Linked DNA regions of Mytilus edulis. The protein of the gene in region 1 interacts with the protein of each later gene in a pairwise test. Links are inferred from orthologs where the notes say so. Each region holds a gene or a part of one and is shown on either strand. Other genes may lie near its edges.

Region 1 (16,968 bases):
TTTGAATGGTTTTACATAAGTAATTTTGGGGCCCTTTATAGCTTGTTCTATGGTGTGAGCCAAGGCTCCGTGTTGAAGGCCGTACATTGAACTTTAATGTTTACTTTTATTAATTGTTATTTCGATGGAGAGTTGTCTCATTGGCACTCACACCACATCTTCCTATATCTATATAAAGAAAATAGTTTTCCAGTTTCAATTCTAAAAATATCAAAATAACAAAAGATCAAATGTTGATATGCAAATGTAACTGTAAGATTTTTATGATTACCGGTAAGTAGTAGTTTATAACAAATTTGACTGTAATTTGTATTGCTTGGAGTATTGAAAAGTTCTTCAAATTTAAGTTTATGTGCAATATATGTTAAATGATTTTAAACTAAAATTAGTAAACACCCAAAATGTTAACCCATTTAACTCACTGGTAAATCATCAAAGTATCCATTTCCCATTTCAGGATCTTCTTCAAAAAAAGTCTCATCGTTTGTAACTTCTGTTGGAGTAACTTGCTCTTGTTTTACATCAGTAGTCTCTCTTGGCAAATGTCCAGGATCCTTGTTTTCATCCAGACTTTCCTGATGAGATGACACAGATAGTGTATTGATATACTTCAGTGTCTGTGATACAATTTCATCAGCATCACTACAATCTTTCACCTCAAATGATGGAGCTTGTTTAAGAATGGCCTGCATGTCAGAACATGGATTTAATGTACCATACATACAGACACAATCTAATTCTGTGTAGTAATGACACAGTGTAGAACACAATTCTAACCTTATCAAGCTGAAATATAAAATATATATAATAAAGGACGTTATCAAGGTCATATACACCTAAACTTATTTCTATGAGGTAACTGCTAATGGGTACAATAACAAAGCATTGATTCTTTATTAATGAACTTTCAAAGATCTATAAATTAGAATTTTCATTGAATGAAAATACATGTAGGTTTCTACTGACATTCAGTATAAATACAGTCTGTCTAAAAAAAAAGTATATCAACTTGAGACTCGTAGAAAGTACAAGTAATTTATAGGACACATATGATCTATAAACTCACCTTGTTTTAAACAATGGTTCTCTCAATGTTGGAGAAAATATTCTGGATTTATCAGGACATTTCTCTGGTTGGCCTTCCCACAACACTTGCCATCTAAAACAAAAACTGTAATTCAGTGGTTGTCATTTGTTGCTGTGCTACATATTTTTTTCCCATTCATTATTTTGTACATACATTAGGTTATTAGTTTTCTTGTTTAAATTGTTTTACATTTGATCCTTCTGGGTCTTTTCTCATCTTTGAAGGCATTTTTGTATGCTATAGTTGTTAATTTCTGTGTCATTTGGTCTTGTTAACTGTGAAATTGGAGTCAACATCCAAAATTGGCTTATAATTTGAATTTATACATTTAAAATAACAGCCAATTAAAAGAAAACTGGACCCTGTCAAAATAAACCAGTTTCCTGTCCATTCTGGCAGACTACAGACTTTTTTCATATTACTGACGTTTGACTCAAGAATTTACGTTTTAGGACTTGTAACCTACTCTTTGGTCTGAAATCCTGGAACTTGGTCAAGTAAGAGCAACATAAAGAAGTATAACCAAGCATTCAAATGGTGCAATTTTTGTTAGAAATATTTTTTTTTATTTCAATACAGAACAAAATAGCAGTTCATTATTTTCTATTATTTTCTTTTTTTGCTCTTTTTTACAGCTGTTTATCTTTTTACCCATTATCATGATTATTCTGAAAATCCAATGAATCAAGACCATCTTATATGTTACTTTTATAATAGCAATCATTTAATTCTAGAAAAAAATCATTGCAGGTTCATTTAGAGTGTATTGAAGGTTTATGAGAAATGTATTGGTACAGGGATAGTTAATTCTATAGAAAGTCCCTGATTGGACCATGTACACTATATAATTCCAATAGTATGTTACCTAACTCTGCCATCATCTACATCAGTCCCTGAAGCTGTATCACAAGCTAAGATTCTCACTACTGATCCAGGATTATAAGTTTCCCAAACTTCAATCTTACATGGATAAACATCTAAATCAAAACTCAATTCTGAAAAACAGAAAAGATATAAACCATGTTAACTGATAACTGTATTAATGAGCACAAAAAAACCCACTGACAATTACTATAGCATTGAGACAACCACTTAAGGTAACACGATACCGAATGACGTTACGCCATGAGTTATCGTTCCTGACGTTATCGAATAACGTTCACACATATAAGCCAATGCAGCGGGTTTTGTGTGGCATTTTTAACGGTAACTTTCCCTATGTGCAGAGTGCCGAGAGTTTTGATGCAATACGTAGCGGTTATTTGACATAGATTGTTTTGTCGTTTTCCAGCCATCATTCTGTTCATTGTTAATCTTTAAAAAGTATTACTTTGATACATTTACACCACGCAGAGTACAGTATACTACATGTATTGTATGTACCAAGTCAAGAATATGACAGCTGTTTATCATTCTTTTGATGTTTTTCAGCTTTTAATTTCGTCATTTGATAAGGGATTTTTTCGTTTTGATTTTTTCTTGGAGTTTTGTTGTTTTATTTTTTGGAATGTGTATTTTATCATGATCATTATTTTCACAAATAACAGAATGTTTAATCTTTTTTGACTGGTGCATCAAATGTGTCTTTTATAAACAACTGTTTTCAAAATTGTAGTGTATCGTCCCGAACATGCATGAACTATTTGCCACTGAACGTTAAACAACCATCACACCGAGTAATTAAAAAACTGTTAAATGAATCAAATTTTTTTAAATACCATATTTCTGCATCATGGGATGCAGTGATGATACTACCATTGTCTAATATGATGGAGTTTAAAATCAGTAATTCGGATAAATCTCACGTGAAATGTTTCATTTAATTTTCACGTAAACTTAACAAAAATCTGAAGGTATTTTTTATGGTTTTAATCAAATTTTAGAACAAAGATATTATTTAAATAATTTTATTTGAAATATTTACGTGAATTTAACGTGTACAAAATTCCGGTGATTTATGCATGAACTATTATCATAAGATTCACATGGAACCTGTTCACGCAAGTTTCAAGTATATGCTCGTTTGATGTGAAAATCGGACGATATTGATATTAATTCATATAAGTGAAATTCCATGTGAAGGACGAAATAAAATTATATCTGATTCAGTAGAATTTTATATTGCATTACTAGGAACTTTACGACAGTCGACAGGGGAAATGAAAATAAAATATACTCATTCAGATCCCGACACATATGTTTTTCTCCATTCTCTGAGAAGAAATAACGTTATATTCCGTACACCATAACGTCACACGTTTTTGGTCAAATTCTAGGCCTATCGATCAACTTTGAAGCCATTTATTTCAAAAACAAGCATGGTGACATATGAGTTTCTATACGTGTCTGGATTCACTATGCAATCCTGGATATTATGTTAGTTTTTCGTTTTTCTCCGTATATAAGAAAATAGCCATCCATTCGAAAATCTAAAAAGGTAAGCCGAAAAAAAGGCATTTCCCCTATATACCTAAGTAAATTTGTCGCCAAAATTGATGTTTTCCTATGAAAATTACAAAAAAACAAAAATGGTGACCCCCATTTTTTATTACATATTCCGATGTAACTCGATTCAAAGTACACGTATGCCAAAAAATTTGGAAATCGGGAGATATGCCATTCGGTATCGTGTTACCTTAAGCTAATCTTGACAGCTATAAACAAGATTTTGATAAAAATTATCAAGCAGTTTGAAATAATGGACTACATGAAAACAATCTCTGATAATTTGTTACTTATGTTTTATAAACATGATATAATGCAAGTTTGAGGTCTAAACATTAATCAAAGAGCAGATTGCTCTGAGGGATACGATTGCCATTGCTTTCATTGATACATGTATTAGTATTATTTTCAAAAATAATTCAGCTGCACGTGTAAAATTCTCGTAAAATGTAATTTACGTAATCTGAATAGTTATTCAACTTTATAAATAGCCAATCCTCGATACAAGTGTATGAACAATGTACTTATAATTATTGTGTTTTAGTTTTGTACTATCAATTCCAAGTTAACTTTCCACAGCAGTCACTGAGAGTGAGAGAAAGTATTTTACTTCGTACCTTATCACCTATTTCATTTGTATTTTCCTACGTGAATTCTAGGTGGAACTCCATTCCTAACTCTTTAAATATTTAATTTCCTTTGGGTCAGTGGGCAGGACTCCTTTCCGTTTAGATTCCTTTGTTTATATTGCGATCGGTTTTAATATAATACGATGTCTATCGACAGAACGAGTTAATTTTTCTCGACGCGATAATATGGAAGACCTCATTTTGGCTGAAGGGGTGTTCTAGTTACACCTTTACGTTGTGAACTACATTTATTTTAATTAAAATGATGCATCATGATTTAAAATTATGCAACAACAATAACCCTCAATAGCAGCAGCTGATAGCAGACAGACATAGAAAGGATCTCGTGAGTTTCAAATTAATCAATGGAGTGGGGAATCCAGAGCAACCATTCAATCTGATACCCCTTAGGTGTTTCTAAATTTATAAAAACACTAAATATAAATACTGCTTAATTCTGATTTTCCGTGTTGTAAAAGACATCCATACAAGTCAAGGGAAATATCAAAACATGAAGATTATGAGAAGAACATTGATAATAGGACAGTTGTTTAAATTCAATCCTTTTGTTTTTTATACCATTTAAAGCAAGACAATCTCAAGTATCTGAGATGTTCCTTGATGTTTAGAATAAAACGGTTGATGTGAGGGCATGGCCCTGAGTCAATGGTATAAGGCAGATTCCAAATAAGAAAGTTGAAAAGTTCCCAAAATTATGTTTAACAATATCAACACCAATGAAGTTCTGTTTTGGAATACATGTTATACTTATATAAGTAAACACTTTTTGACCAAAAATAGATCTATTCACATTATATTTTTTAAATAAAGACCACCTTAAAAAAATGTTGCTATCATAACAAAATTGACAGACATTTTGACGGAAAATTCTTATGTTAGCAACACAAAAAATCTTGATATTTTCAGTATTTTCAAGGTTTAGATGTTTATCTTGATTTAACATGAAAGGCAAATTGGAATAAAACATTTCTGAACATCTGCACCAATAAAAAAGGAATTGGAATAACTTTTAAAACGGATTATCTTGGAGTTGCTAACATAAAATTTGACAGACATATGCAATGCTGCTAACATAAGATTTGACAGAAATTAAGTTGTTGCTAACATAAAAATTGACGGACTTTATTGTTGCTAACATAATATTTGACGGACTTTTTTGTTGCTAACATAACATTTGAAAGACTTTTTTGTTGCTAACATAATATTTGACATACTTTTTTGTTGCTAACATTAAATTTGACAGACATTATTGTTGCTAACATAAAATTTGACGGACTAAATAGTGTTGCTAACATAAGATGTTGACGGACTTGTTGCTAACATAAGATTGTGCTAACATAAATAAATTTGACGGACAATATATATTTGAGATTTTTAACCAACATTGGAGCTCTTATCCTAGTTGAAAGTCATATTAAGAACTCCTGCAAAATACCGATGCCTGAAATTTAAAAAGATTTTAACCCAGGACAGATAACTCTAATTTGTAGCACATCCAAACGTTGCTAACATAAAATGACAAGTTTGACAGAAATTATGTTAGCAACAGATTTGATAAAACTATTGATTAAATAAAGTAAATTGAAAGATCCAAAATGTGTATGTATAATGTACAAATGTACAAAAATTTTCATCCTAGCCCCCCCCCCCCCCTCCCCCCCCCCCCCCCCCCCCCCATAAAAATCAAATGGTAGCTACCTAAGTAAGGTATTAGAAATTGAAAAAATACATATCACAGATGTTTTTAACAAAAGAAAAGCAAAAGATTTGGAAACAGAGATGTTTGAATAATCAGACTACACTAATAAAAACCATTATACCAGTGTCAACTTAAAGCCTCGTAAAACATGAACCTTGTGTCAAAAAATGGGAAGTAATTTCCGTCAAACATTTCACATTTTTCAACTTGTTGTGATCATTTCTACTTTTAATGGAAACAATCATATCCAATAATTGGTTTGCTTGCTTTATATAACATTACTATTCAATAAAACATTCACATATTATCATTCAAATAACAGTAAGTATTATTTTTCTTAATTTGTTCTTTTTGACGGAAATTTTCTTTTCTTTTTGGAATCTGCCATAAGTCTACAGATTGCTTAAAAGCAATCGTATCCCAAAAATTGAGAAATGCTGACCAAATTTTTCTGTTATCATATGTGTCCATTAAATTTAATAATAAATGAGAAGGTTTGTTTTTCCCATAGATTTTGGTAGTCAAATCAAGGATTTGTATAGTAAGATCTAACTATACAAATCCTTGGTCAAATAGACTCCACTCTAAAACTATTTTGAATGTTATCTTACCAACATAATCATCACTTATGAAGTTAGGTGGTGTTCTCTTGAATTTACGAGGTGAAGATGTTACATTCTTCCACCATGGTCCGTATGTTCTCTGTAAAAGAAATCAAAGAGCTGATAGCTCTGAAGTGGAAGAAGGTGAATAAAAGGTAACTTGAATAACCATAAAAGCAGCCCCACTTACCCAGGCTGCTTTGTTCCATTATCGTTAAAATGTATTTTTTTTCTTCAAACAAGAAAAGGTCATAAGTACATGGATTTCCCATCCGTACAATCATTTTCTATGTTCAGTTGACTATGAAAATTAGGTAAAATCTTTAATTTGGCAGTAATTAAGAAGATCATATCAAGAGGAACACATGTGTACTAAGTTTCAAGTTGATTGGATTTCAACTTCATCAAAAACTACCTCGACCATAAACTTTATAACCAGAAGCAGGACGGACGGACAGACTAGAACACATATTGCCCATAAATGGAGCATAAAAATAGTAAGACTTGTTACATACCTGCCAACTTTTGAAAGTTCCCATATGGGTTTTTACTGCACAACAATTTTAAAGGTTACAATTTTTAGCGACGTATTTTGCAAGATCTGGATTGTCTAGAAAAAGTGTCATATTTGTATGATGAACTTACATGCCTTTTCCTTAAGTCTGTTTGCATGATTCTAGTTATATATTAAATCGGTAGAAAAAATATACATGAAGCTAGCAGACCAGGGTTTATTTTCCAGATTAAGAATATTAGATGCTTGTTCATGTTGTTGAAATTTCCAATTTTGAATTATGCACAAAGATGGACCTTTAACAGGTTGGGAACAACACTCCAAATGAGGGTAACCTAACTGGAAGATCATCACAACCCACTGTAAAAAATGAACACAAAATAGAATTTTTCAATAAATGCTGAAAATAGGCTTTAAAGTATTAAAATGCATTGCAAAAAACAAATATTTCATTAAATAAATTTAAGTAGAATATTCCTATGATATTCCTTTTCATATTGGATACAAATTTTATTGAGTCTACTGCAGACACTTTGTAGTCAAAGTGTTTCAACTGAGGTACTACACAGGTGTCAAAAGGCGTCATTATGGAGTAAAGGGGGTGGCGTCAAAAAGCGTCATTATGGAGGAAAGGGTTAAGTACTGAATGGTCAAAACATCATGTTTTTTTATCGACATAAATTTTGTCATAAATGTAACCAAATGATGTAGAAATTGTGTTTTTTCTTCAAATTTCCATCAAATTGTAATGTTTATAGTTCCATTATTGCCTCTCTATTTGAATAAAATAAAATAATAAGAAGAATCTGTTTCTTGTTTTGTTTTGTTTTTGACAAATGATTGTTCACTGCTAGCAAATGAATCATTATATTTATATATCTTATCTGTATATATTTTTGTTCATGTCTTCATCTCCTTATCATTTGTAAATGTATAGACAAATAAGAAAGAAATAAGCTCCACATGTATATTTGCAACATCGTAAATTAATTAAGAAAATATTCTGTTGTAAACAAAATTATGATATAAACTTCAATTTAATCCTTGAAAGGAGGTCTAGATTGCTAAAATAATTTATAAATTTTAATTTTTTTATTTGTCCAAAATCATTTAAATTCATTTAATCAACATCCCTTTATCATGTTTATGATTATTTGATTAAAATCTTAATCATTTATAGTCTTTTTACAATTTACATTTTTAAAAGCAAAATAACTGAAAACAGGATAAAACAAAGGGAAGTAACAAAAAAATATTTCAATATGCCCAATACACATCGTTTTGATAACACAACGGCAGTTAGCCGGAGGTAAACATCGTTGATTACCAGTATGTTTGACACCCAAGCTGTCAAGTGAAGCCTTATAATTATACATCTTCTTTGATGTTCAGGTAAAATTTAACACAGGTGTCAATTACACCCGTACAGTAGTAAGAAATGATCAAATATGGCGTCTGAAAAATTTCATACACGGGAGTTTTTTCTCCTAAACGGGAGGTTCACATGTATGTTACGAAGGGCATCTAATTCACATGACAAAGGAAAACCATGAATAAAGACAACACTTTATATATCCTTTTTATTTATATAAAAACAAAATCTTCTTGTCTGCAGGATTGCAAATTCGTAACTTCAAGGGCGAACTTGTAAACAGGGCGAGTTGTCCCGATACCAAATTCACGCATGCGTAATACAAATATCTACAGTTAAAACATCCTGTTACAAGTAAACAAATAACGTTCATGTGGATGAGATGAAATCTAATAATTTACATAAATAAAAGGGTCATATTTACGATAGTGATTGTTTTACAATCATAATTTACAAATTAAATGATTCAGATGCCTAATCATGTGTAAAAATCGGTGTCAGGAATCTAAGTTGTTTTGAAATTGTAATACACGAAATGAATGCGGCATACGGAGACTCAATGCCAATGGTCAGCCCCTTAAGTCTTCAGAAGACTTGACGTCTTCTTCCACTAAAAACTTTGTAAATTGCATCATGTACATTTGTAAAATGTTTTCTCTCAAAAATTGTCAATATGAAGGTCCTATAAAAACACCAAGTTTCCATACCCTATAAATTTTCATAAAAGAATTTTATGAAATTATTTCAATCTAATTTAAATGATTAAACGTTCAACTAATATCTGGAAATCTTACGAAAACAGCAGCCTGTGTAAAATCTCCATAAGCAGGAAATATGTTACTCCTTCCTGCTAGGTTGCTGACTGTGTAAGATATACTTGTTTCACTACCATACTGACTGCTGAAATCAGTCACTTCCTTTGAAAATCTTGAAATTAAAACTGCCTTTGATGTACTGCCTGGCTTGTGTGTTTCTGTTATTTTATCTCTGGCAAGTGCATTGTCAGCCATTTCTAAAATTAGAAATGAAAAGTGAAAGCGAAACTGAATAGCTAAATTCATTAGTGTCGTCCGATCATGTGTAATATTATATCATACAATAATACATCAATATTAAATTATTCAATTTAGATAATAATGAATATTATTAACGTTTTAATCAAAGGAAAAACATCGTAAAAACGAAATTTCCAAGATAAGGCCGATAGAAACACTATTATAATTGAAACTGGCATACGGGATGAAAGACCTAATTTTTCTGAAAATTTGTCTGGAAAGAGTGTTATTTTTGGAGAGTATTTTTGGGCCTAACAAAATATCAAGTTTTATTATTTTGTAGGTCTACAATGCAAATTTCACAAGTTTTATTGGCTTATTTAATCTTGTCATGAAATAGAATATACAGGAGAAGTCAATGATCAAGGACTTTATATTGTACAATATTTGCAATGAGATACATGTACCCCTCCCTTGTCCACAGGGGTATGTACCTATCATACATGTTTTCAGGGTAGAAATATATCACTGTATGCCCGTCAACTGGTGGGCATTATACATTATGTAAAAAGGTTGGCATATATTTACCCCTAAACATGATCCCGGTTGTCAACGTATATATATATGTTCCTTTTGGAACAAATATTCTATACCATTTATTCCATTAGGAGCATTTACTGTAATATTTATTCCAGTGGAAATAAAATTCCAGACTATTGTTTCCATTTGGAACTTATATTATAAAGGAACTTGTATTCTGTGACACGCTAAAATGTTAATTTAAACCCTGCCACAATCTATTTGTATGTGCCTGTCCAAAGTCAGGCCGCCAGCAATTCAGTGGTTGTGGTTTGTTATGTGTTACTTATTTGTTTTTCATTTAATTATTGAACATAAATAAGACCGTTAGTTTTTCTTGTTTACAGTCATTTCAGGGCCTTTTATAACAGACTATGTGGTATGGGCATTGCTCATTGTTGAAGGCCATACAGTGACCTATAGTTGTTAATTCCTGCGTTAGTTTGGTTTCTTGTGGAGAGTTGTCTCATTGGCAATCATACCACATCTTCTTTTTTTATATATAGGTCTATGATATGCGCCCTTGTGTATGTGTGTCTAGTCCAAATAACTATGAGGTATTGAAGTACCTTTTTTTGGGATACGATTGCTTTTAAGCAATCTGTAGACTTATACCATTGACTCAGGGTCATGCCCTCACATCAACCGTTTTATTCTAAACATCAAGGAACATCTCAGATTCTTGAGATTGTCATGCTTTAAATGGTATAAAAAACAAAAGGATTGAATTTAAACAACTGTCCTCTAATGTTCTTCTCATAATCTTCATGTTTCGATATTTCCCTTGACTTGTATGCATGTTTTTTACAACACGGAAAATCAGAATTAAGCAGTATTTATATTTAGTGTTTTTATAAATTTAGAAACACATCAGAGGGAATTCCCCAGTTTTGATAACATGCAAGAGTTTTCTTAATTCCGATCGATAAAATCTATTTCTGTCATATAAGAACTGAAGTGGAGTTTTCTTATATGTCACCGTTATGAAACTGATATTTGATATTGTACTTCCATAAAGAAATGGAGGTCGTTTAATTAACATTTAATATACATCCTTGCTACAAATCACAAGTCTAGGGTTTGTTTAGGTATGTGCATGCATATAGTTTTCTTGACTTGAAGGGGTATCAGATTGAGTGGTTGCTCTAGATTCCCCACTCCATTGATTAATTTGAAACTCACAAGATCCTTTCTATGTCTGTCTGCTAATGAGGGTTAACTCGTTCTGTCGGTTACCGATCGTGCAAGCTAGGGCTGTATAACAAGTCAACAATGGTCAAGGTCGTTCAAAACTTCAATTTTTTGTTGTTCTGTCGATAGACGTATTATATTAAAACCGATCGCAATTTAAACAGAGGAATGTGTATGGAAAGGACTCATGCCCACTGACCCAAAGGAAATTAAATATTTAAAATGTTAGGAATGGGGTTCCACCTAGAATTCACGTAGGAAAATACAAATGAAATAGGTGATAAGGTACAAAGTGAAATACCTTCTCTCACTTTCAGTGACTGCTGTGGAAAGTAAACTTGGAATTTATAGTACAAAAATATAACAATAATTACATTGTTCATAAACTTGTATCAAGGATTGGCTATTTTTAAAGTTGAATAACTATTCAGTTTACGTAAATTACATTTTACAAGCATTTTACATGTGCAGTTGAATTATTTTTGAAAATAATACTAAATACTAATACATGTATCAATGAAAGCAATGGCAATCGTATCCCTCAGATCAATCTGCTCTTTGATTGACTTTCTGTGAATCCACCATTTTCTACATTTGAAAATGCCTGTACCAAGTCAGGAATATGACAGTTGTTGTCCATTGTTTGATGTGTTTCATCATTTGATTTTGCCATTTGATTATAGCGACTTGCCGTTTTGACTTTTCCTCAGAGTTCAGTATTTTGTGATTTTACTTTTTCCTATATTGTGGACTACCCACCCCCTGTAAGAGAGACATGTAAGGAACAGTGATAGAAAAAAAATAATTTAAGGTTTAGTATGATTACTTGCTTGCGACTTCTGACTAGTACTGGCTTGATTATATATGTACATATACATCAGCATATAGTAATGTAATAATAACAAAAAAAGATTATTTTTGTTGGACGCTCAGTATTATAACCAGAATGCTGGATTGGTTTAGGAACCAATTAATTAGGAATGTAACAATAGCGCTTTGAAGACGGGCCAATCACATTTCCATGACATTCATATATATAGGTGTCTGCAATACCACCACATTGTCCATAGGACGTATTGTCCATCATGTGTCCTTGTAAAGACATATGATCAATACTTCATGTACTTAAGGGGGTTCGCGGGTCTAAATCATTTATATAGGATTTCTCTATATTTTTCTATAAATGAACTTTATCTTATAGTTAATAGAAAATTAAAATAAAAAAGTGGGATCACCGTTCATTTGCGCTCACAATCTGCCTTCGAAAGAAGCATACATTTTTGTAAAGGTGGTTGAAGTAATAGGAGAAATATAGGTAATATCGAAATAAAAAAAGAAATTTATTACAGAAATCTCTCAAATTTTACAATAATTTAGTTTAAGTACAGCTTATATGGAAATTATATTAAAAAATATATGTCACCGATGAGTTAAAAAAGATATTTCAATTTTAAAGCCAAAAAAAAGCATTTTTCCACCAAAGGGAGATAATTTGGAACTTTTTCAATGATGTACACATTTTAAATGTCATCTGGGGCCAACACGAATTGATTGTTTTGAATGATTTTTGTACCATATGATAAAGTAACAACTACAAAAAGTAATAAATAAAATTTGTAGTGAAAAACAAATGTTTATTTTTTTCTGAAATTTTTATACCCTCGAGCCTCCTTAAAGTAATTATTCCATAGAGGTTACAACATAAATATATGATTATACAACACTATCCAATGTATGTTTGTATCTGCTTGAATTCAGCTTAGGTGCTGTATTTTTACATGATCTTGATCTTCAGAAAATATTGACTAAAGCATAATTAAAACTTATGTTCATCAAAGAAATAATAATAAGCAATTAATATTCTTCTTGAATGTTAAAATTAATCAATATCTGATTACTTTGTTTTGTATTTCAAACATCTTCTTTTTTATAAACTTATTGTTTTAACAATGACAAAAATTGATCTCCCAATTTGGATATTCTTTCTTATTTGTTTTTATTTTCTCAGTTTGGTTTCCATAAGATAATAAACATCCATTTAGAAAATGATATAGATATTTTATTAAAAATTAACACATACATGACATAGGGTGTCAGGAATTCTATTGATTAACACCCTTTAACTCAGGCAAACAATCATTATTATCTGTGTATTTGAAACACTTTGTATAAACTTAGAGTTATTTCCCTTCTTTTAATATGTTTTTCAAGTTACACTTGTGAAACAGTGTGTGGATCTCTCTGAAATTGTACCAAAAGTTTCCATACCACAAAGGGATGGATAGGATTGGCTCAAACTGTTTAGGAATTAGGGGCAAAAAAAGGGGGAAAAACAAGGGTTTCTTGGTTTATGAACAATTACTTAAGTTTTGGTCTTTGGATCTTTATGAAATAGATATTGGATTATTATATAAGGGATAGCATTTGATTGATTCATGATATTTTACAGTATATAGAAGAGAACAATATTTTTGGATTACTGCTCTTTATTGATTTTGAGAAAGCTTTGATTTATTTTTGAACTTGTCAAAACTCTTTGGAAGTTTTAAACAAATTATGTGCTTTTGATGGTCCATTCAATTCAGTTGACAGTTATAATTTTTTAACTATGTATACTACTCTACCACACAATCTTATTAAACAGAATTTCTCTTATTTAATAAATGATACTTTAAAATGTCTGTAATCAAATGATTAAAGCTGTAAATTTTCATTATGACAACATTTATGTACTTTCTAGGAATAATGTTAATCAACAGGTTTAAGGTATTCCTATGGGAACTACTTGAGCCTCTTTAATAATAGACTTGTTCTTGTGTTGTAATAAATCTCAGTTGATGGCCAAATTCAGTAAAAGATCTGTCTAAACTATATTGAAACTTTTAAAAACACTACATTTAAAAATGTTTTCTGTTACATTGATGATATTTTTGCTTAGAATTCTTACATTTTACATTTTACAGCTGAAATATACCAAAAGAAACTTATTTTGATTAAATCTAATACAGCCAACAATAGTTGCACTATTTAAAGGATATCCAATTTCACACAGGAAACTCTACACATGCTATATAACAAAACAATTGAGAAGTATGTTGGTTCCTTGATTGTTAATTTTCCTTTTTTGTTACCAATCAACTTTTGTCGAAAAAGCGAGACAAAGCGATCCTACATTTCGTTGTCGGCATCGTCTTCTAGGTCGTACACAAATATTCACTCTGTTGTTAAAGTTTTTAAAATTTTAAAAACTTTCTTAAACTATCCTTGATTCCTACAAAACATGGACAGAATCTTGTTTTTGATCATAAGATAGTATCCAGATATAATTTTGTGTAGAAAAAAATCCTGTTTATCCAAGTTTTACTTATAAATGGACTTAGTTTTTCTGCAAGTTTACATAACATTCACTCTGTGGTTAAAGTTTTTTAAAATTTTAAAAACTTTCATAAACTATCCTGGATTTCTACCAAACTTGGACAGAAGCTTGTTTATAATCAAAAGCTAGTATCTAGAACGAAATTTTGTTAAAATATATTTCCAGTTTTTCCATATGTTACTTATATATGGACTTAGTTTTTCTTCCAGTTAACATTACATACAGTCTGTAGTTAAAGTTCTTAAAACATTTATTAGATTCATAAAGTAGGCAAGACACTGGGTTTCGTGGAACCCTTACAAATTTTTTGACAAAGATGTTACTTTCTTATGTTGTGTATATTTCACAACTTGTTCACTATGCCTGTGTCTGCAGTCGTGTTTTAGATATAAATGAACATTATTTATGTATAACTGATAAATTATTAAGTCTTGGTTTTCATAACCACAAATTAATTATAATCTTTACCAAATTCTTTGTTAGCATTACAGATTTGGTTAGAAAATTTGGGCAGAATCAATTTGCGCCAATTGCAGTTTTGAAAAGGTATTTATTGCGCCACTCTTTTTTATTATGATGGTATTAATTGCGCCAATAAATGAAATGAAATTGCGCCACATTTACCTGTTAATATTTTTTTACTTATATCATACCTGTACATGTTTTACCTATATCAAGACAAGACAAGACAAATACTTTATTAAAGTCTCGCCACTTGTAACATATAAAATATACAGCTTTTCAAAACACTAGTTAACAACAAGAGCCACTCTATAAAGAGTTTTGAGAGACTATAATATATATTTTTTCTTAAAATTATAATGCAAATACAAGTCAACTATCACGAGTATAAAATACATTTTGGCTTTATTAAAATTTCATAGCAGATTTTGTCAGTATAAAATATCATATTTTCGTTATCAGTGTCCAGAAATTAGAACGTCATATTTTGAGAACTGCGTGTAAAAGAAAAGCAACCAATGTGTTGTCAGAGCGACCTTCAAAAATAATAAATTCAGAGATCTTCAAAATTGAAGAAGAAAATTTAGAAAAGAAAGATTTAAAATATGTGTGTCAGTCTAGTATGTATATATAGAGAGAAGAAAACTGCGTCCGGCTTAATATAAAAATCGAGCAGAATTTCACAGAATATTGGATGATATTGGTGTTGTTACAAACAAAGATGATGACTTTGTATTGTGTAACGATCCAGAAAGCGGTATAATTTTATTAGGATGCGGAGGCTAATTTGAAATTTCAGTGTACAATGTCAGAGGAATTTTTTGCTGTTGGTACCTAGTCAATCATTTCGTTGTTATATATAGATAAAAATATTAAAATTGGCGCAATTAGATGATTATTTTATTGGCGCAAATGATACCTATAGTTTTGAAAATTAGGTGGCGCAAAAGAGGTATTGGCGCAATTAAGTTGTGGCGCAAATGAGTTACTTTTTGGCGCAAAAAGATATCGCCCGAAAATTTGCTGTTACCTGTAGTGTTCTTATAAAAAACAAGATATCACTTCCTAATGTTTACACTGATGTTGTTTATAAAGCCTATAAACTTAGACAATAATATTTAGCTTTACCCCTATGTCATTGTATGTGCAAGAATATATTATTTGGTTGTTTGATTTTCCAAAAATATGATTATGTAATTGTATTCACCACGGTTATCTGATCTATGCAAAAAGCAAGATATTAATAGATTTAACTACTTTAATTTGATGGTTTTTAAGTATATTACATATATTCTATTACCCTGTACTTGTTACTACCACAAAAGGTTTTAAGGAGGCTCGAGGGTTAAAAAAATTCAGCAAACATTTTTTTTTTCATTACAAATTTTATTTTTTACACTGTTAGTTGTTACTTTATGATATGGTACAAAAATCAACCAAAAAATCAATTAGTTTTTGTCCCAGATGACTTTTAAAATGTTTATATCATTGAAAAAGTTCCAAATAATCTCCCTTTGGTGAAAAATTGTCATTTTTTTTGCACATGTTGCATTTGAATTGAAATATCTTTTTTAAATCATCGGTGACCTATATTTTTTATTATTTTTTTTTGTTAATAACCTGTTCTTAAACTAAACTATTGTAAAATTTTAAGCAATTTCTGTAATTTAGTTCTCTTTTTATTTGGATGTTACCTTTTTTTCTCCTATTAGTTCAACAGAAAATAAGTACCTTAACAAAAATGCATGCTTCTTTCAAAGGGATATTGTGAGCTTAAATGAACGGTGGCCCCATATTTTATTTTTATTTTTATGGTAAGTATAGGATAAAGTTTATTTATAGAAAAAAGTAGCGAAATCCTTTATCTAAAAAAAATGTGATTTATAACCGTGCGCCCCCTTAATAATGATTCTTTCTCATTACTTGCAAATGGCGATATTGAAACTTTTATTTAGATAGATTAATGCAGTGAATTCTGGAACAAATATAAATCACA
Region 2 (16,968 bases), on another chromosome or scaffold:
GTAGGTCGAAAAAAATATTCCCTTGAATTTGACAGTTGTAGGTAATTAATCCTACATTTTATTGCAGTAAAACCATTTCTGTGTCATAAACATATGTCTTGGGTATTTCAAAACACCATTATTTTTTATTTGGGATTTCTATAGAAAATTTTGTAATCTTGAGGTTACATTTGTACATGGTGACTAATAAAATTGAGAATGGAAATGGGGAATGTGCCAAACTGACAACAACCCGATCATAGAGCAGACAACAGCAGAAGGTCACCAACAGGTCTTCAACGCAACAAGAAATTCTCGCACCCGGAGGCGTCCTTCAGCTGGCCCCTAAACAAATATATACTGGTTTAGTGATAATGAACACCATACTAAACTCCAAATTGTACACAAGAAACTAAAAGTTAAAATAATACAAGACTAACAAAGGCCAGAGGCTCCTGACTTGGGATAGGCGCAAAAATGCGGCGGGGTTAAACATGTTTGTGAGATCTCAACCCTCCCCCTATACCTCTAGCCAATGCAGAAAAGTAAATGCATAACAATAAGCACATTAAAATTCAGTTCAAGAGAAGTCTGAGTCTGATGTCAGAAGATGTAACCAAAGAAAATAAAGAAAATGACAATAATACATAAATAACATCAGACTACTAGCAGTTAACTGACATGCCAGCTTCGGACTTCAATTAAACTGATTCAAAAATTATGTCTTCATCATATGAATATCAGGCACAATCCTCCCCGTGAGGGGTTTAGTATCATACCATCATAACATATAAACCTTGTACACAGATAAAATAAGGGGAGAAATTTGATTGGTTAACTTCCAATGGTGGTTATTTTCTTATATGCAATGAAATATTATGTGATTTTTTTTCTATAGAACTGGACAGGATAAAACTTTACTCATGCCAAGTATTTCTTTATTTGAAAGATAAATTCTGCACATTTTTTTGAAAAATGCAAATTTAACAAAGACTAATAGGGGAAAATCAATGGTGGTATAATATTACACCTCTAGATTGTTAACAGTTATTGTAAATTCATAAATTATTGTGATTTATTTATAATGTACAGGGTTATAATCGCAATAGTTTAAACTCGCATTTTAAGAGAGATCCATACACTTAAACATAAGTTATTGTCTGGAAACTAGAAAAATAATGAAATATGCTTATTTTGACCCCTTTTGGGCCCCTTGTTCCTAAACTGTTGGGACCAAAACCATCAAAATCAATCCCAACCTTCCTTTAGCATGTTAAGTGGTTATGAACCTTGTGTTAAAATTTTATTGATTTCTATTTACTTGTACTAAAGTTATCATGGTTATTATTTCCGGAAATCATCCGTCTTCAGACGACATGATACCGATATAAGACCAATTTTTTTTTAATTTTTGCGGTCGTATAAAAATCATTGCGGTCGTATACAAACTTACATTCCAACATCACAAAGAATATCCTGGGTAACTGGATTAGTGAGAATCTGTCCCAAACTCTGCCATGAGTGTAAGAATGTATCACTCTCCAGAAAATGGTCTGCACATCCATATCCTCTACAAAAACAATTGATGCTATTATCATTTTTTAATTTCAACATGTTCGAAAGAATATTTTCAAAAAAAATTCTTGTTAAAAAGTATGTAAGAAAAACTGTCAATATCTTAGATTTTCAAGTACTGGACACTTACCATGCTTACACCTTTTCTTATACACTAAATATTACATGTATATGCAGCATTGCTCCTGAAGGCAGCATAAATGGTAAAAGTAAAAAATCAATTACCTGGTAGAAAACTTCTTATTAATGGTCATACATGTACATATTTTGTAAAAACAAATTGAAATTGTTCTGCGTCATATTATACTAACGTTATCTCCAGCTCAGGGCCTAATCTGTAAGTTGCACCAAGCTCTTTAGCCTTTTGAATACCTGAAAATATAAACATCTAAAATTAAGACTTTTAAGGGAAAACAATTGTGAGTTCAAAGCTACTGAATTAGCTCCAAATCTGATTCATCTTAGCCATTTCTGTTTTCTAAAAATGTGATATAAAATGGAAGTCCTTAATAGCTGTAAATAAAATAATATACATAACTTATCTCATGTGAACTGCCTATTTTCAGGGAAATGTAACCAATAGTTTTGTTAATTGTCATTTGTTATAGTTCATGTAGTTTAGGAATAACAACAAAATATTTTTTTTCTCACTGTCAAATTCAGAAGTCACAAACAGTCAAGGATCGAAGACTTGAAGTGCTCATCAACTTGATCAACAACAAGTATTTTAGTAACAGTTTTTTTTAATAATTGAATAAAGATTTGGAGGGCAAACATTTACAATGAAATGATTTGAAATGATTTTAAGGCCACTTTTTTTTTATTTGATGGTTTACGGATCCGCCGACCCTGTTTTTCACGATTTTAAAATAAAAATAAAAACGATTTTGAAGATTTTTTTTAATTCCGCCGACCCTTTTCTGTTTGAAGAAGTACAAATAAAAATAAAAACATGAATGATATAAAAAGATCGGTCTTTCTTCTTCCAGTCGGAATACCCTCAGAGTGGATTCGAAAATCCCGTGCGGTTCCCTGTTCAGTCAACGTTTCATCATGATCTAATGTTGTGAAAAGGAACCTGTTGAAAGGCGGTTCCCTGTTCAGTCAACGTTTCATCATGATCTAATGCGGTGAAAAGGAACCAGTTGAAAATGGAGGACCAAATACGATTTTACAATATTTACTTAGATTTACACATTAATTGTTTGAGATTTTCGGTGTAAATCTAGCGGTTGAACAAATTGAACATCGCAGTCATGAATAATAAAAATGAAAATTATTTTTGAGATCGTTTGGGAATTTTGGTTTAAAAGGTCGGACCAGGGATCTCCATGGATGAAAATTGAACGATGGAGGAACTTTCACCATTACAAACCGTGTCTACGCTGTACAGTGTAGCGCGATCGGAAGTATTTTATCCCTCCATACAAGGAATGGTGAACATGCTAATTCATTGCTTATTTAAATTATATTTATTTGAATTTTCATTGTAGAATTAGAAGTATCAATATTTTCATTTATTGCCGTTTTTAACCATTCAAATGCCAATTCTTCATGGTCCCCCCCCCTTAGTGTAGAATAACCAAAAGCTGTCATGAAGGTCCCCATGTAGATTTCAATTATTTTTGGTAATTGTTATGGGGGTTAAAATTAAAAATCATATGATGTGGAGCTTATTTTTCATGAACACTGTCAAATTCAGAACCCATTACCGGTATGGCTGATTTGCAGCAATTACAAAACGATTCGTACGGGTTATGTAAAAGGTTAAAGAGATTTTTAAAGCAAACGTTGACAAATGAAAAGGTTTTTAATGACTTTATCTGGCAAATTGAAGCTGTGCAACATGCATCATTCGAGTCTGAATAGAAACCGGAAACGCCAATGTATCAATTTGATTGTAATATACGAAATGAATTCGGAATTACGATACGATATTTCTTTACAGGAAATATTTAAGTTTTTACCCTTAAACTTTTAAAGTAATTCTAACTCATCGTTACAGCAGTTCTTGAGTTATTTGCGATGAAATAATATTTACTGTTTTGCGTCTTATTTTGTACTTCTTAAAAAAAGGTGATGCTGATTGCGTAAGTCAAAATAAAGTTGTGTTCGACTTGTTAAACTGTTTATTTGTAACTGGATTATTAATTAATTTATTTAATCTAAATTATCATAATCATTTGCTGAAACTATGTTGATTAATTCGACAAATGGATCGTCTATCCTCAGATAGTATTCTCCTGTCTGGTTTGTTGATCTACCTGTACAAGCTCAGGTACAAGTGATTAGCGATCTTAATCCGGATATCCCTAAGGCGTTAGAACTGTATTGGATTATAACATAAAAAGCCTAAGGGTTATGCAATTACATGCATTTGATTATAATTGATAAAAAATGGCGTTGGGCTACACAAAACGATGAAGTTTTGAACGATGGCGGAAGACAATTAAGGATGGCGCAAGACAATTTAACGATGGCGCGAGTCATTTGACGATGGCGCAAGACATTTGAACGATGGAGGGGCGCCATCGTTAAACAGGCCATGGAGATCCCTGTCGGACCACAGCTAATTTGAACCCCTGTTTCAGACAGTCAGTGAGGTTGATGGCGGGTCAACTTTGGTTCCAAACTTCCAGTGTCGATCAGAAAGTCTGAAACCCGTCGAAAGGGGCTGTTTTAGTTCCATTACACATATGAGGTACTAGTCCAAATAATTATGACATCTGGCAAGGCTTCCTGGCATCCCAGATTTGTTTTTAAATAGCCTTGCCAGACGTCACTATTAAAAGGGAAGGATCTTTTAACTTGCTGCCAGGGATGGGTGTCTGATTAATTGGCCTTGTTATATAAATACCTAAATACCATCCCACGGTACCCATTAAGATTTAATGGAACAAAGATGGGATATGGTGAACAAGATCCCAACACAAAATCAGAACATGTATTACTGTCATAGAATGCCTGACAATTAAAATCACTTCGACATTTATAACAAGAGGCTCTCAAGAGCCTGAATCGCTCACCTGAATTTTTTTGGTTTAATCTCTCATCAATGATTATTTTGGCTTTTCAATTTATTTAAATGTTCTTTGAATCGTCCTATTTTCTTCAAAAGCAAAAAAAAATCATTTTCTCCTATGTTCTATTTTAGCCATAGGAGCTATGTTTCTTGACATACAAGGAAATGAAATATAAAATTTATACTAGATACTCTGAAACTCTGAAACTCATTTAGCCTAAGTTTGGCTGAAATTGATACAGCAGTTTCATAAGAGAAGATTTTTTAAAGTAAGTCAACATGGTGAACAAATTGTGAAAAAAGTCTTTAAAGGGCAATAACTCCTAAAGAGGTCAATTGACAATTTTGGTCAAATTGACAATTTTGGTCAAATTGACTTATTTGTAGATCTTACTTTGCTGATCATATTTGCTGTTTACAGTTTATCTTTATCTATAATAATATTCAAGATAATGACCAAAAACTGCAAAATTTCCTTAAAATTACCAATTAAGTGGCAGCAACCCAACAATTGGATGTTTGATTCATCTGAAAATTTCAGGGCTGATAGATATTGACCTAATGAACATTTTTACTCCATGTCAGATTTGCTCTTAATGCTTTCGTTTTTGAGATATAAGCCAAAAAACTGCATTTGACCCCTATGTTCTATTTTAAGTAACGGCGGCCATGTTTTTTGACGGATCAAAAATCAAAGCACACACTTTGTGCAGGATAATCTAAGGAACAACCATGCTAAGTTTTAACCAAATCCATTCAGTAGTTTCAGAGGAGAAGATTTTTTAAAGTTAGCAAATATGATGAACAAATTGTGAAAAATTGTCATTAAAGGACAATAACCCCTTAAGGGGTCAATTGACAATTTTGGTCAAATTAACTTATTTGTAGATCTTACTTTGCTGATCTCTTTTGCTGTTTACAGTTTATCTTTATCTATAATAATATTCAAGATAATGACTAAAAACTGCAAAATTTCCTTAAAATTACCAATTAAGTGGCAGCAACCCAACAATGGTTTGTTTGATTCATCTGAAAATTTCAGGGCTGATAGATCTTGACCTAATGAACATTTTTACTCCATGTCAGATTTGCTCTAAATGCTTTCGTTTTTGAGATATAAGCCAAAAACTGCATTTGACCCCTATGTTCTATTTTAAGTAACGGCGGCCATGTTTTTTGACGGATCAAAAATCAAAGCACACACTTTGTGCAGGATAATCTAAGGAACAATCATGCTAAGTTTTAACCAAATCCATTCAGTAGTTTCAGAGGAGAAGATTTTTTAAAGTTAGCAAATATGATGAACAAATTGTGAAAAATTGTCATTAAAGGACAATAACCCCTTAAGGGGTCAATTGACAATTTTGGTCATATTAACTTATTTGTAGATCTTACTTTGCTGATCTTTTTTGCTGTTTACAGTTTATCTTTATCTATAATAATATTCAAGATAATGACCAAAAACTGCAAAATTTCCTTAAAATTACCAATTAAATGGCAGCAACCCAACAATGGTTTGTTTGATTCATCTGAAAATTTCAGGGCTGATAGATCTTGACCTAATGAACATTTTTACTCCATGTCAGATTTGCTCTAAATGCTTTCGTTTTTGAGATATAAGCCAAAAACTGCATTTGACCCCTATGTTCTATTTTAAGTAACGGTGGCCATGTTTTTTGACGGATCAAAAATCGAAGCGCACATTTTGTGCAGGATATACTAAGGAACAATCATGTTAAGTTTCATTCAAATCCATTCAGTAGTTTCAGAGGAGAAGATGTTTGAAAAATTGTTAACGACGACAGACGACGACGACGACGACGACGACGGACGCCAAGTGATGAGAAAAGCTCACATGGCCTTTTAGGCCAGGTGAGCTAAAAAGGGACAATCACAGGACACTTCGAGATATACATGATATAAGCTAATACTTAGCAGTGTAAAATAGCATAAAAAGCCTAAAAAGGACATGTTTTCATGTACCACATATGAAGGCATATGACATGCAGAGCACATATATGGTATTTCCTCAATAAGAATGTATTGTGTTATGAGGAATTTTTTCCCTCCCTGATCTAAATTTGATAAATAAATACACAGAACAAAGAGAAATGCAATTGGAAAAGACACTTCCCTTTCATCAGGAACATGTACATGTATATATATATATATATATATATATATATATCTGCTTTCATCAATCTACATTGACATTGGACTCCTTGTAACACATTTAATTTATATTAAAACAGCAAGAATTAATACCAAATTATGAAACAATCTGCATACATAATTAGTATAATACTATTATATAGAGTAACGTCATTGTTTGTTTCTCTCCATTTTTGGTAAAAAAAACCAGTATTAATTCAAATTTTTATTTTTTAATTTTTTTACGACCTCCTACCCTATATTTTTTCATTATTTTTATTTTTAATTTTTTTTCGACATCCTACCCTTCCAACTAATAAAAAAAAGTGGCCTAATGACAGTATTGACTTAAAATTTTATAGCAATAGACAATGCAACTGCATCTTTTGATTCTGTATGTGAACAAGATGTATTAATTTTACGTAAAATATGAAACAAATTAAAAATTATGATATGAAATTTCTTCAAATTACCAAGTTTCAGTCGGTACCTCGAATGACCGAATAACACTGTTAATATCCGAATAACACTTATAATGACCGAATAACACTTGGAATTTCATATTTAGCACATATTGATGACTTTTAAACATTGATTATTAATTAATAGTATATTATCGATGTATTTTATAACTTATAAATGATTTACAGAAGGCAGATAAGTTCATAAAAAACTTTTAAAATTTAGTGTGTACATCAATATGGCGACCACAGAAATTACAATGCCTGCCATGTTCGATGTACACACTAAATTCAAAAGTATCTTTATGAACTTATCTGCTTTTTGTAAATCATTTTTAAGTTAAAAAATACATCGATAATACATTATTATTTTTAAAATTATCAATGTTAAAAAGTCACCAATATGTGATATTATTGTATAGCAATATAATATTTCCCACAGAAAGTAACCAAAAGTTAGCGTGCAATAAATTCTAATATTGCACTAGTGCAATAAATCGTAAAAATTATGACGTCATCAACGACAAAATCTTAGTTTAAACCAATTTTTACTTTCAAATATTATATTGCTATACAATAAAAGGGTTATTGCATGAATATTGTCCCTCGTAGAATATATATTGCACTCGCAAGCTCGTGCAATATAAAATTCTACTCGGGACAATATTCATGCAATAACCCTATAATATTAAAATTTCAGTGTTATTCGGTCATTACAAGTGTTGTTCGGAAAATAACAGTGTTATTCGGTCATTACAAGTGTTGTTCGGAAAATAACAGTGTTATTCGGTCATTCGTGTTACCCAGTTTCAGTTAATATTCATGTATTTTCTTGTAAAGTAATTCAATATTATCAACAAGTGTAATACTCATATCATTTGGCATACAACTATGTTCTAAATATGGGTTTAATTTGTACCTGTAAAGGCTATTTAAAAAGATAGACTTAAGCATTCTGTTTTCAAGACTAACAAGAGTGTGAAAACGTGCATATGATGATATGTTTTGAAGAAGAAATGTTCACAACTTTAGTTTTATAATCAGCTCTTTTTTAAATCTTCCATACTTTCTATTATTCTTGACAAATTCCCTTCAAAGTCCATTGCCCATTGATTCAATGTGCAAGTGGCGAGTGTCGCCGTTCTCCCCATTTTGGAGACCCTCTGTTAATCGTCAAAACCGACTCAAAAATTATTGATTATCAACTTTCTTTTTCGGACACCGGAAGTTGTCTATAGAATGTTTGATTAGTCCACGTGTTACTGTTGAAACTGTAAATTTTTTGTTTGTTTATAGTTCTTTTCAAAATAACCAAAATTTATCAGTAAATTGATAAACGAAAGAAATAAGATTAAGTATATTCTTAATGCTAGAAAAGAATGGCATTATTTACATGATTAAAATAAAAAATGGCAAATCGAACGCGACAAAATTTATCTTTTGACCTTGACCTAAAGTGACCTAGAAATTACACAAGTACTGTTTGGACTTCGTGCAGTGTGTAAAACTGGAACTTGACAGGTTAACAAAATGGCAAACAGAGACAAAGCAACAAACCAACTTCTCAATTTTAAAGAATCACAGACGGTATGCTCTTTATATTTACAAGTAATGTACTGTGATGATATAGGGTCTGCTTTGGAACTGTTGTTAGCAGTGGCAACCCTGTTTTCAGGACATTTACGCTGCACTTTTAGTTTTACATTACATAAAAAAAACCCACAACTTTAAAATTCATTCACTATGCATTTCCTATGTCACAATGTATTAATGGGTAGGTTTTATATGTGCACAATGATTAGAATTATATGTTCTATATTCAAGATATTAGGTGTAGAACTCACCAGTATTCAGAAAGGGGGGGGGGGGGGGGTAGGTGGTGGTAGGAGGGGTCCTGATCCCAAATTAGGCTTATAAACATGGAATCCTGAGGTCCCAATTTTAAAGAAATTTAAATCCCGAAATTCTAAAAATGAATACCCGGATCCTGCCGAAATCCAGAGCTTAAAAACACCCGATTCCAGAGTCCTGATAAAGGTTCTACCCCCTCTTAGGAGATAACTGTATTTGTGGTATCGTAAATTAATCTCTGACGGCATTAATAGGTGATTTAATGGGCCCTAAAATACGTTTTGTAGTGAAGCGTTAGCTGAGCCAGTAAACATGGTAAACAGGTATTTGCAACCATCAAATCTCTAATTGATGCTGTCATAGCTGAAAATACAATATTATTATCTCCATTCTAATGAAACTGACAAAACCATGTCAAATATACATTTGAAATTTGTCTGCGTTTGTGGGTGCTTTTTCATATCATCAATTTGTGAATTAATGTTATGAAAATTTGTGATGTTATTCAGTTATTAGATATCCAATCAAAATGAATGTTAGAAACAATTTTGCATTAGAATTAGTTTTTAAATATGTTCATGATGTTGTTGTAATACAACATGTACATATGATACAATTGTATGCAGGTTTATTTGTCTATGTCTTATACAACGATTGACATGAAGGTCATCAAATGGAACTCTTTCATAAAAAAAACAACAACTAGAGTTTGGTATATGCAATTTTGTTTCAGCCATATTTTCAAATGTTCCGTTTGATCCATGTCATCAAATGTGATGGAACCACTTGAGTGGTCTAATTGTAGCATGCTTACGGCTCTGTGATAATAGAATATTGTTTCCACAGCAAGAGTTAAAAAAGACACAATTATCATGATTAAAATGTCTCAAGCACGGTGTTATGTTTTAATTTAGCCTTCCACATCATTCAGCATTGTTTTTGTTCAGAATTTTGTATTAATAACTACTGTGCCTTAATCATGTTAATTAAGAATAAGCAATCTATGATTTGTAAAATTGTTCTAAAATTCAGTACATTCAAATCATGTTTGTAAAGAGATAAGGCAAAACTGACAGACAAGAGTAACAAATGACTAAAATTTTAATGTTCTTTTTTCCTTTCAGAAACCTGATGTCTTGACAACTGGAACAGGTGCCCCTGTTGGCACCAAAACAGCCACAATGACAGTTGGACCAAGAGGTCCAGTCCTGTTACAAGACTTTGTCTTCACAGATGAAATGGCCCATTTCAACCGAGAAAGAATACCAGAAAGAGTAGTACATGCTAAAGGAGCTGGTACATATATTATAGTATTAATAGGAATCTATGATTCAATGCTATACTCAAACACAATAAACATTATTAATGCTACATGTTTATCTTTCAAACTTATATTCTGCAATTACTAAAATTTAAGCAGTTAGTGCTTTGACATAATCATCACATAACCATTCATGTTCATATGTGTAGAAGGTTTAAATTTGTAACCAATCTTGAAATATTACAATGTACATGATGTAGATTACATTTGCACATGCTGCCATGTTAATAGTTTTAAAGTAAATATATTAACATGATTAATCATACCTGCATCTACATAGCATATTACACAATTTATTACAATTAAATAATTGCTTAAAAAAGTAATTTAACTTGTTAAACATGACTATTGTTAAAACTCCCATTCATATATGTCTTATTGAGAAAAAAAATATTGTACAAAAAAATGTATTAGCATTTCCATGTATGTTGTATATCATTTTTGATCAGAACATGAATTTTTATTTACACTACAGCTCATGTCATTTTCATTTTTCTAAGTGTAATTAACATGCACATATGATTAAGTTATACATATATTTACATGGCTTCTAGATTGGATACTGTGGATTCATTCAAAAGCCAGAAAAATCAAACATCCATGAAAATACAATTTTTTCTCAATCCATGAAAATTGATACCCATTAAAAATAAATAGATTCACAATAAAAAAAATCTTTTTCTCTCATCTTAAGAATTGACCCAATGAGCTCGAGACATGAAGCATAAAGATCTACAATTTAACTGTAAACAGTAACCAGAATTATGACCACATGTTCCAAAATGTCCTCAGTGCTCTTCAACTTTATATTTTATTTAGTCTTTAGACTTTTTTTGATTTGAACTTCACTGATGAATAATTTTACAGGAATGTCATTAATAAGTGTTAGTGAGATCCTTAGTTATAACATATTATGACTTATTTTACAGGAGCATTTGGATACTTTGAGTGCACACATGATATTTCTAAGTACTGCAAGGCAAAGCCATTTGAATTTGTTGGTAAAAAGACACCTCTGGGAGTGAGATTCTCTACAGTTGGTAAGTGGCATTTTTACATTTCTCTAATCCCTTTCTGCACGCATAATATAAAAAAAATAATGAACGCGTGGTTCGTTTGATCTCAGTTCTTCATTGGTTAAAATCTGATTATGACGTTGAATACTCTTCTTTTCCTCTTAATTTCCTATTGTGACGGCATGAAAAAAGGCGACCATGCCTGATGACGTTACATAGAAAGAACACATCTTTTTGCAGATCAGTCGCAAAGAAGCAATAAGTTAGCCTGTGTATTGTTTGAAAATCATTAGAAAAACAGATTCCACCACCAAATCTCGTGTTATACGATATTTATCCACTCTTGACAGTTAAATTTTGAATATTTAAAACGCTCAGCAAGCCTCGCGTTTGAAATTTGAAAATTTAACTGTTTGAGTGAATAAATATCGTATCACACTCTATGCAGTGGTAGAATCTATATGTATTGCACCACATGTTCCTCAATTTTATGATTATTTTTTTTTATTAGTTAGTTCACATAGTGAACACAATTCATGAAGAAAAATAAAGTGTTTTGCTTTATCTTCTAACAGTATTTTTTTTTCTCATTTAGAAATGAGCATAGAGCATGGTGTCAGTGTTCCAGCTAGGTTTTCAAAAGGGCAGGGTGCCAATCCTGAAAAAGGGCATTTAACGCGCGATATGATAATATGAAAAGGGCATATTTTAATAAAAGATGTTAATCAAACATTTGTGTTTATTCGTTGAATCACAGGTTATACAAGAACAACATCTTTAGCCCATATAGAACTCTATCTTTCTACTTTTAAGGCTGAAAAACTTGTCAAGCAGCTTGTCACACAAGTTTTTTTATCATTGCTTGGCACAGTTGAACTTTATATGCAGTATGTTTTGAAAGGAGATCTGTTTCATACTGTTTCTATGGTCTACCACATTTTACCAGTTTCACCTTTCTACCCCTGCTGTGCTTGATGGCAATACAGCACAAAACAGCTGTGCTCAGTAAATTCACAATTTTAGGATATAAAGCAACAGTGAAAAATAGTATCAAAAATAAAGACTACAGAAAAAGATGACCAAGGCACCCTACCAACACTGCTACTAAGACCCTCTTTAACTTTTCCCATAACTCAAAATAAATACCTAAACATATATATTCTTAAGCAAGAAGTATGGAGACACATTTTAGAATATGTAAATGGGTTACTTAATGCTAGGAAAAAAAATCAGATTGAGTTATCTTTCTTTATTCGGGTGTGCTCCTTCTTTGGAGGATTATAAACAGTACGTAAATATGATGTAAATATGATCACAATATGGCGGATGATTTTGTTATTTTCGTATCAAAAATGAAGGCAGTCAATGACAAATACGTCTGAATTTTCTGTTTATTTTACAGAAAACAAGTAAAACAATGTCTTCAACGAGTTTATAATGGTTTTCCAACTTTCTGTCATTACGTTTCTTCCATGAAACTACGGTAAACATCGCAAATTGTGCCCAAGTTGTTGTATGCACATTTCTTCAAAGATAATTGCCGACTGACCGATTCTATTTGAACGAATTAATGTTGATGATCATAATGACCCATCCGATCAACGGATTACCTATAACAACAGATTATGACACCAGTTGTAACCATTGATTAGCTTGGGGTGGTAAACAAAGTCATAATCTTTTCCCCAGGTAAAATTTAGTAATTAGCGTATCATATCAATACGCAAATTAATATGCAATCGATCTTCAAAAAAGGCAGGGCGCCCTGGAAACTGTAAAAAGGGCACAGGGTGCCACTCGGAAAAGGGCGGGCGCCGCGCCCTCTGAAAACGGCCTAGCTGGAACACTGTGGTGTGATAGAATTATTTAAAATCTAATAGGAACATTTAGGATCTTCAAGACATTTTTGAAAGGCAACCATTTAAAATATAAAAAAGAAGATGTGGTATGATTGCCAATGAGACAACTATCCACAAAAGACCAAAATGACACAGACATTAACAACTATAGGTCACTGTACGGCCTTCAACAATGAGCAAAGCCCATACCGCATAGTCAGCTATAATAGGCCCTGCTAAGACAATGTAAAACAATTCAAACTAACGGCCTTATTTATGTAAAAAAATGAACGAAAAACAAATATGTAACACATAAACAAACGACAACCACTGAATTACAGGCTCCTGACTTGGGACAGGCACATACATAAATAATGTGGCGGGTTTAAACATGTTAGCGGGATCCCAACCCTCCCCCTAACCTGGGACAGTGGTTATAACAGTACAACATAAGAACGAACTATAAAAATCAGTTGAAAAAGGCTTAACTCATTAGATGGACAAAAATACAAGTAGACGTGGCCAAAGACTTACAGAGATCTAGATCTTGAAACAACCATTTCACAATATAAAAATAAACATGTAATCTTACTTTTAGAAGGATTTTATTTCATTAACTAGCAACACATACACTTTTGTCCATTTTGATTCCCTGGCTTGTTTGAAATGTAACTGACATTGAAATTTTATTGGGAGTCATGTGCGTTACATGTTCCAACATGGCTCTGGTTGCCAAGCAAAAGAAGCTGTAAATATTTAAAAAAAAAAGAATAAGTTACTTTTTTACATGTAACTATTGAATGATACATTGCTACATGATTTTATACCGAGTTAGCTCCCATATTCAGTTAGGATTTGACTTTATTTTTATTTATCATGTTTTTTTTTGTCTTACTGATTTTTATTTTAAATTATTTTTTAAGAACTGAGAGACAATTTTACATTTGAAGTGATATTTTCTGATTTATTTGAAATAAAATCAATTTCAGATTATTTTAAATCCAGTAAAAATGAAAAATTTAGAACTAGAGTTATCTCCCATTACACACTGTTTTATTTTTAGGAGGAGAAAGTGGTTCTGCTGATTCTGCCAGAGATCCCAGAGGATTTGCTGTAAAGATGTATACAGAAGATGGTAACTGGGATCTAGTGGGGAACAATACACCAATCTTCTTCATTAGAGATCCTATGCTGGTATACAATAGTCATATCAGTTAAACTAATCCATGATTCATGGGCAATAGGTCTAAGAATTTTATAATATGTTAAAAGTATAACTTATGTAATAATACAGCAAATTCCTTTACTTATAAAATAAGGTGATGTGAGGCTTTGGAAGAACAAAGACTTGGAATATAAATAACTACTGGTCAGTGTATGAGAGCGACCTTCCATGCTTTAAATATATATATATAGAAGAGAACCAACAATTGGAATGAATATAATGGATACCGAGAAATTGTTATTACAATTTAGTAAATTGAGTTACAAATTTATTGTGATAAATTAATTTGAAAATATTCTACAGTGTTCTAGTAGTACAATTATGGCAATTTATATTATGGAATTTAAAAGGAAATAGTGATTTTGTCAAAAAATTATATTGTTTCTTATGATACATGTGATGTAAAATCAGTCAGAATTTCTGACAATTTCAGTTTCTTTCTAAACCAATCTTTGCCCTTTTCTATATTGACAAGCTTGTTGAGTTATTGCCTACATTATATTATTTAAAATTTCAGTTTCCAAGCTTCATTCATACACAGAAGAGAAACCCAGAAACTCACCTGAAGGTAAAAGACATATATGGACCATAATTTGGTATTCGGCCTTTGGTTTCTTTTTGTATCCTTTTTTATACGACCGCAAAATTTGAAAAAATTTTCGTCGTATATTGCTATCACGTTGGCGTCGTCGTCGTCGTCCGAATACTTTTTAGGAATTAGGGGCAAAAAAAGGGCCCAAATAAGCATTATTCTTGATTTTCGCACAATAACTTTAGTTTAAGTAAATAGAAATCTATGAAATTTAAACACAAGGTTTATGACCATAAAAGGAAGGTTGGTATTGATTTTGGGAGTTTTGGTCCCAACAGTTTAGGAATAAAGGGCCCTAAGGGTCCAAATTAAACTTTGTTTGATTTCATCAAAAATTGAATAATTGGGGTTCTTTGGTATGCCAAATCTAACTGTGTATGCAGATTCTTAATTTTTGGTCCCGTTTTCAAATTGGTCTACATTAAGGTCCAAAGGGTCCAAAATTAAACTTAGTTTGATTTTAACAAAAATTGAATCCTGGGGGTTGTTTGATATGCTGAATTTAGAAATGTACTTAGATTTTTAATTATTGGCCTAGTTTTCAAGTTGGTCCAAATGGGGGTCCAAAATTAAACTTTGTTCATCAAAAATTTAATAAATGGGTTCTTTGATATGCAAATCTTACTGTGTATGTAGATTCTTAATTTTTGGTCCAGTTTTCAAATGGTCTACATTAAGGTCCAAAGGGTCCAAAATTAAACTAAGTTTGATTTTAACAAAAATTAAATTCTTGGGCTTATTTGATATGCTTTATCTAAATATGTACTTTGATTTTTGATTATGGGCCCAGTTTTCAAGTTGGTCCAAATTAGGATTCCATATCAAGTATTGTGCAATAGCAAGAAATTTTCAATTGCACAGTATTGCACAATAGCAAGAAATAAATAATTGCACAATATTGTGCAATAGCAATTAATTTTCAATTGGAGTTATCTTTCTTTGTATAGAATAGAAGTTGATAATATATGTTTGCCAGACATGACTATGATGTCATTTTCTATTTTTATTTGCCAATAACTTTATGTAAATAACTTCATTGGAAATTTGCCAATATAAAATGTTGCTGATGAAGCTTTTTTTCCTTATCTTATCTAAAATGTTTTTAGATAATGTATGTTGGACATTTGCCAGACATGGACTATGATGTCATTTTCTATTTTTATTTGCCAATAACTTTATGTAAATAACTTCATTGGAAATTTGCCAATATAAAATGTTGCTGATGAAGTTTTTTTTTATTGTTTTATACAATAAACAATGTATATTCACTTTTACCACCAACCAATCTTTACCATTCAGTGATAACAAGCACTTTATTTTACATTTTAATATTTTATGATGTATTTAAAAGAGTAGTTATTGTTGCAAACTCCATTAGAAATTTGAATTGATATCAGTTTTGGAAAAAGGGAAACGGGGATGTGAAAAAAAAGGGGGGGGGGGGGGGGGGGGGGGGGGGGTTTAAATTTTTCTCATTTCAGATTTCATAAATAAAAAGAAAATTTCTTCAAACATTTTTTTGAGAGGATTAATATTCAACAGCATAGTGAATTGCTCAAAGGCAAAAAAAATATTTCAAGTTCATTAGACCACATTCATTCTGTGTCAGAAACCTATGCTGTGTCAACTATTCAATTTTAGATTTAAAAAGTTTGAAGAAGAAATCTTTAATTGATTTGTAAAATCTTGACATTTGTTTTGTGTAAAAAAAACATGTAATGTCAAAAATTTGATCACAATCCAAATTCAGAGCTGTATCACGCTTGAATGTTTTGTCCATACTTGCCCCAACTGTTCAGGGTTCGACCTCTGCGGTCGTATAAAGCTGCGCCCTGCGGAGCACCTGGTTATAAGTTCTAAAACTTTAACTTTTATTCTGTGGGTTGTGTTGGTGTTAGAATAGTATTAATGGAACAATTGAGTTTTTCAAGAAAAAA

Evidence for each region.
Region 2: the proteins of peroxisomal bifunctional enzyme-like (region 1) and catalase-like interact in a two-hybrid assay, tested with the Homo sapiens proteins (2 studies listed by BioGRID, with this or other methods). The link is inferred for Mytilus edulis from reciprocal best matches to the Homo sapiens genes EHHADH and CAT.

The regions. Positions count from the first base shown.
Region 1 is NC_092345.1:89,861,612-89,878,579, reverse strand, and holds the start of peroxisomal bifunctional enzyme-like, read left to right. Parts: upstream 1-9,609; 5' UTR 9,610-9,703; exon of another isoform or gene 9,704-9,850; intron 9,851-16,968. Other genes in the region: F-box/LRR-repeat protein 4-like, read right to left, coding at 423-786, 1,067-1,159, 1,953-2,082, 6,493-6,583, 9,164-9,379. UniProt on the Homo sapiens protein: Peroxisomal trifunctional enzyme possessing 2-enoyl-CoA hydratase, 3-hydroxyacyl-CoA dehydrogenase, and delta 3, delta 2-enoyl-CoA isomerase activities. Catalyzes two of the four reactions of the long chain fatty acids peroxisomal beta-oxidation pathway.
Region 2 is NC_092353.1:84,438,668-84,455,635, reverse strand, and holds the start of catalase-like, read left to right. Parts: upstream 1-8,616; 5' UTR 8,617-8,718; coding exon 8,719-8,775; exon of another isoform or gene 8,776-8,834; intron 8,835-10,071; exon of another isoform or gene 10,072-10,163; coding exon 10,164-10,335; intron 10,336-11,289; coding exon 11,290-11,400; intron 11,401-14,277; coding exon 14,278-14,408; intron 14,409-14,956; coding exon 14,957-15,007; intron 15,008-16,968. Other genes in the region: glutamine-dependent NAD(+) synthetase-like, read right to left, coding at 1,433-1,549, 1,866-1,926, 8,255-8,339. UniProt on the Homo sapiens protein: Catalyzes the degradation of hydrogen peroxide (H(2)O(2)) generated by peroxisomal oxidases to water and oxygen, thereby protecting cells from the toxic effects of hydrogen peroxide.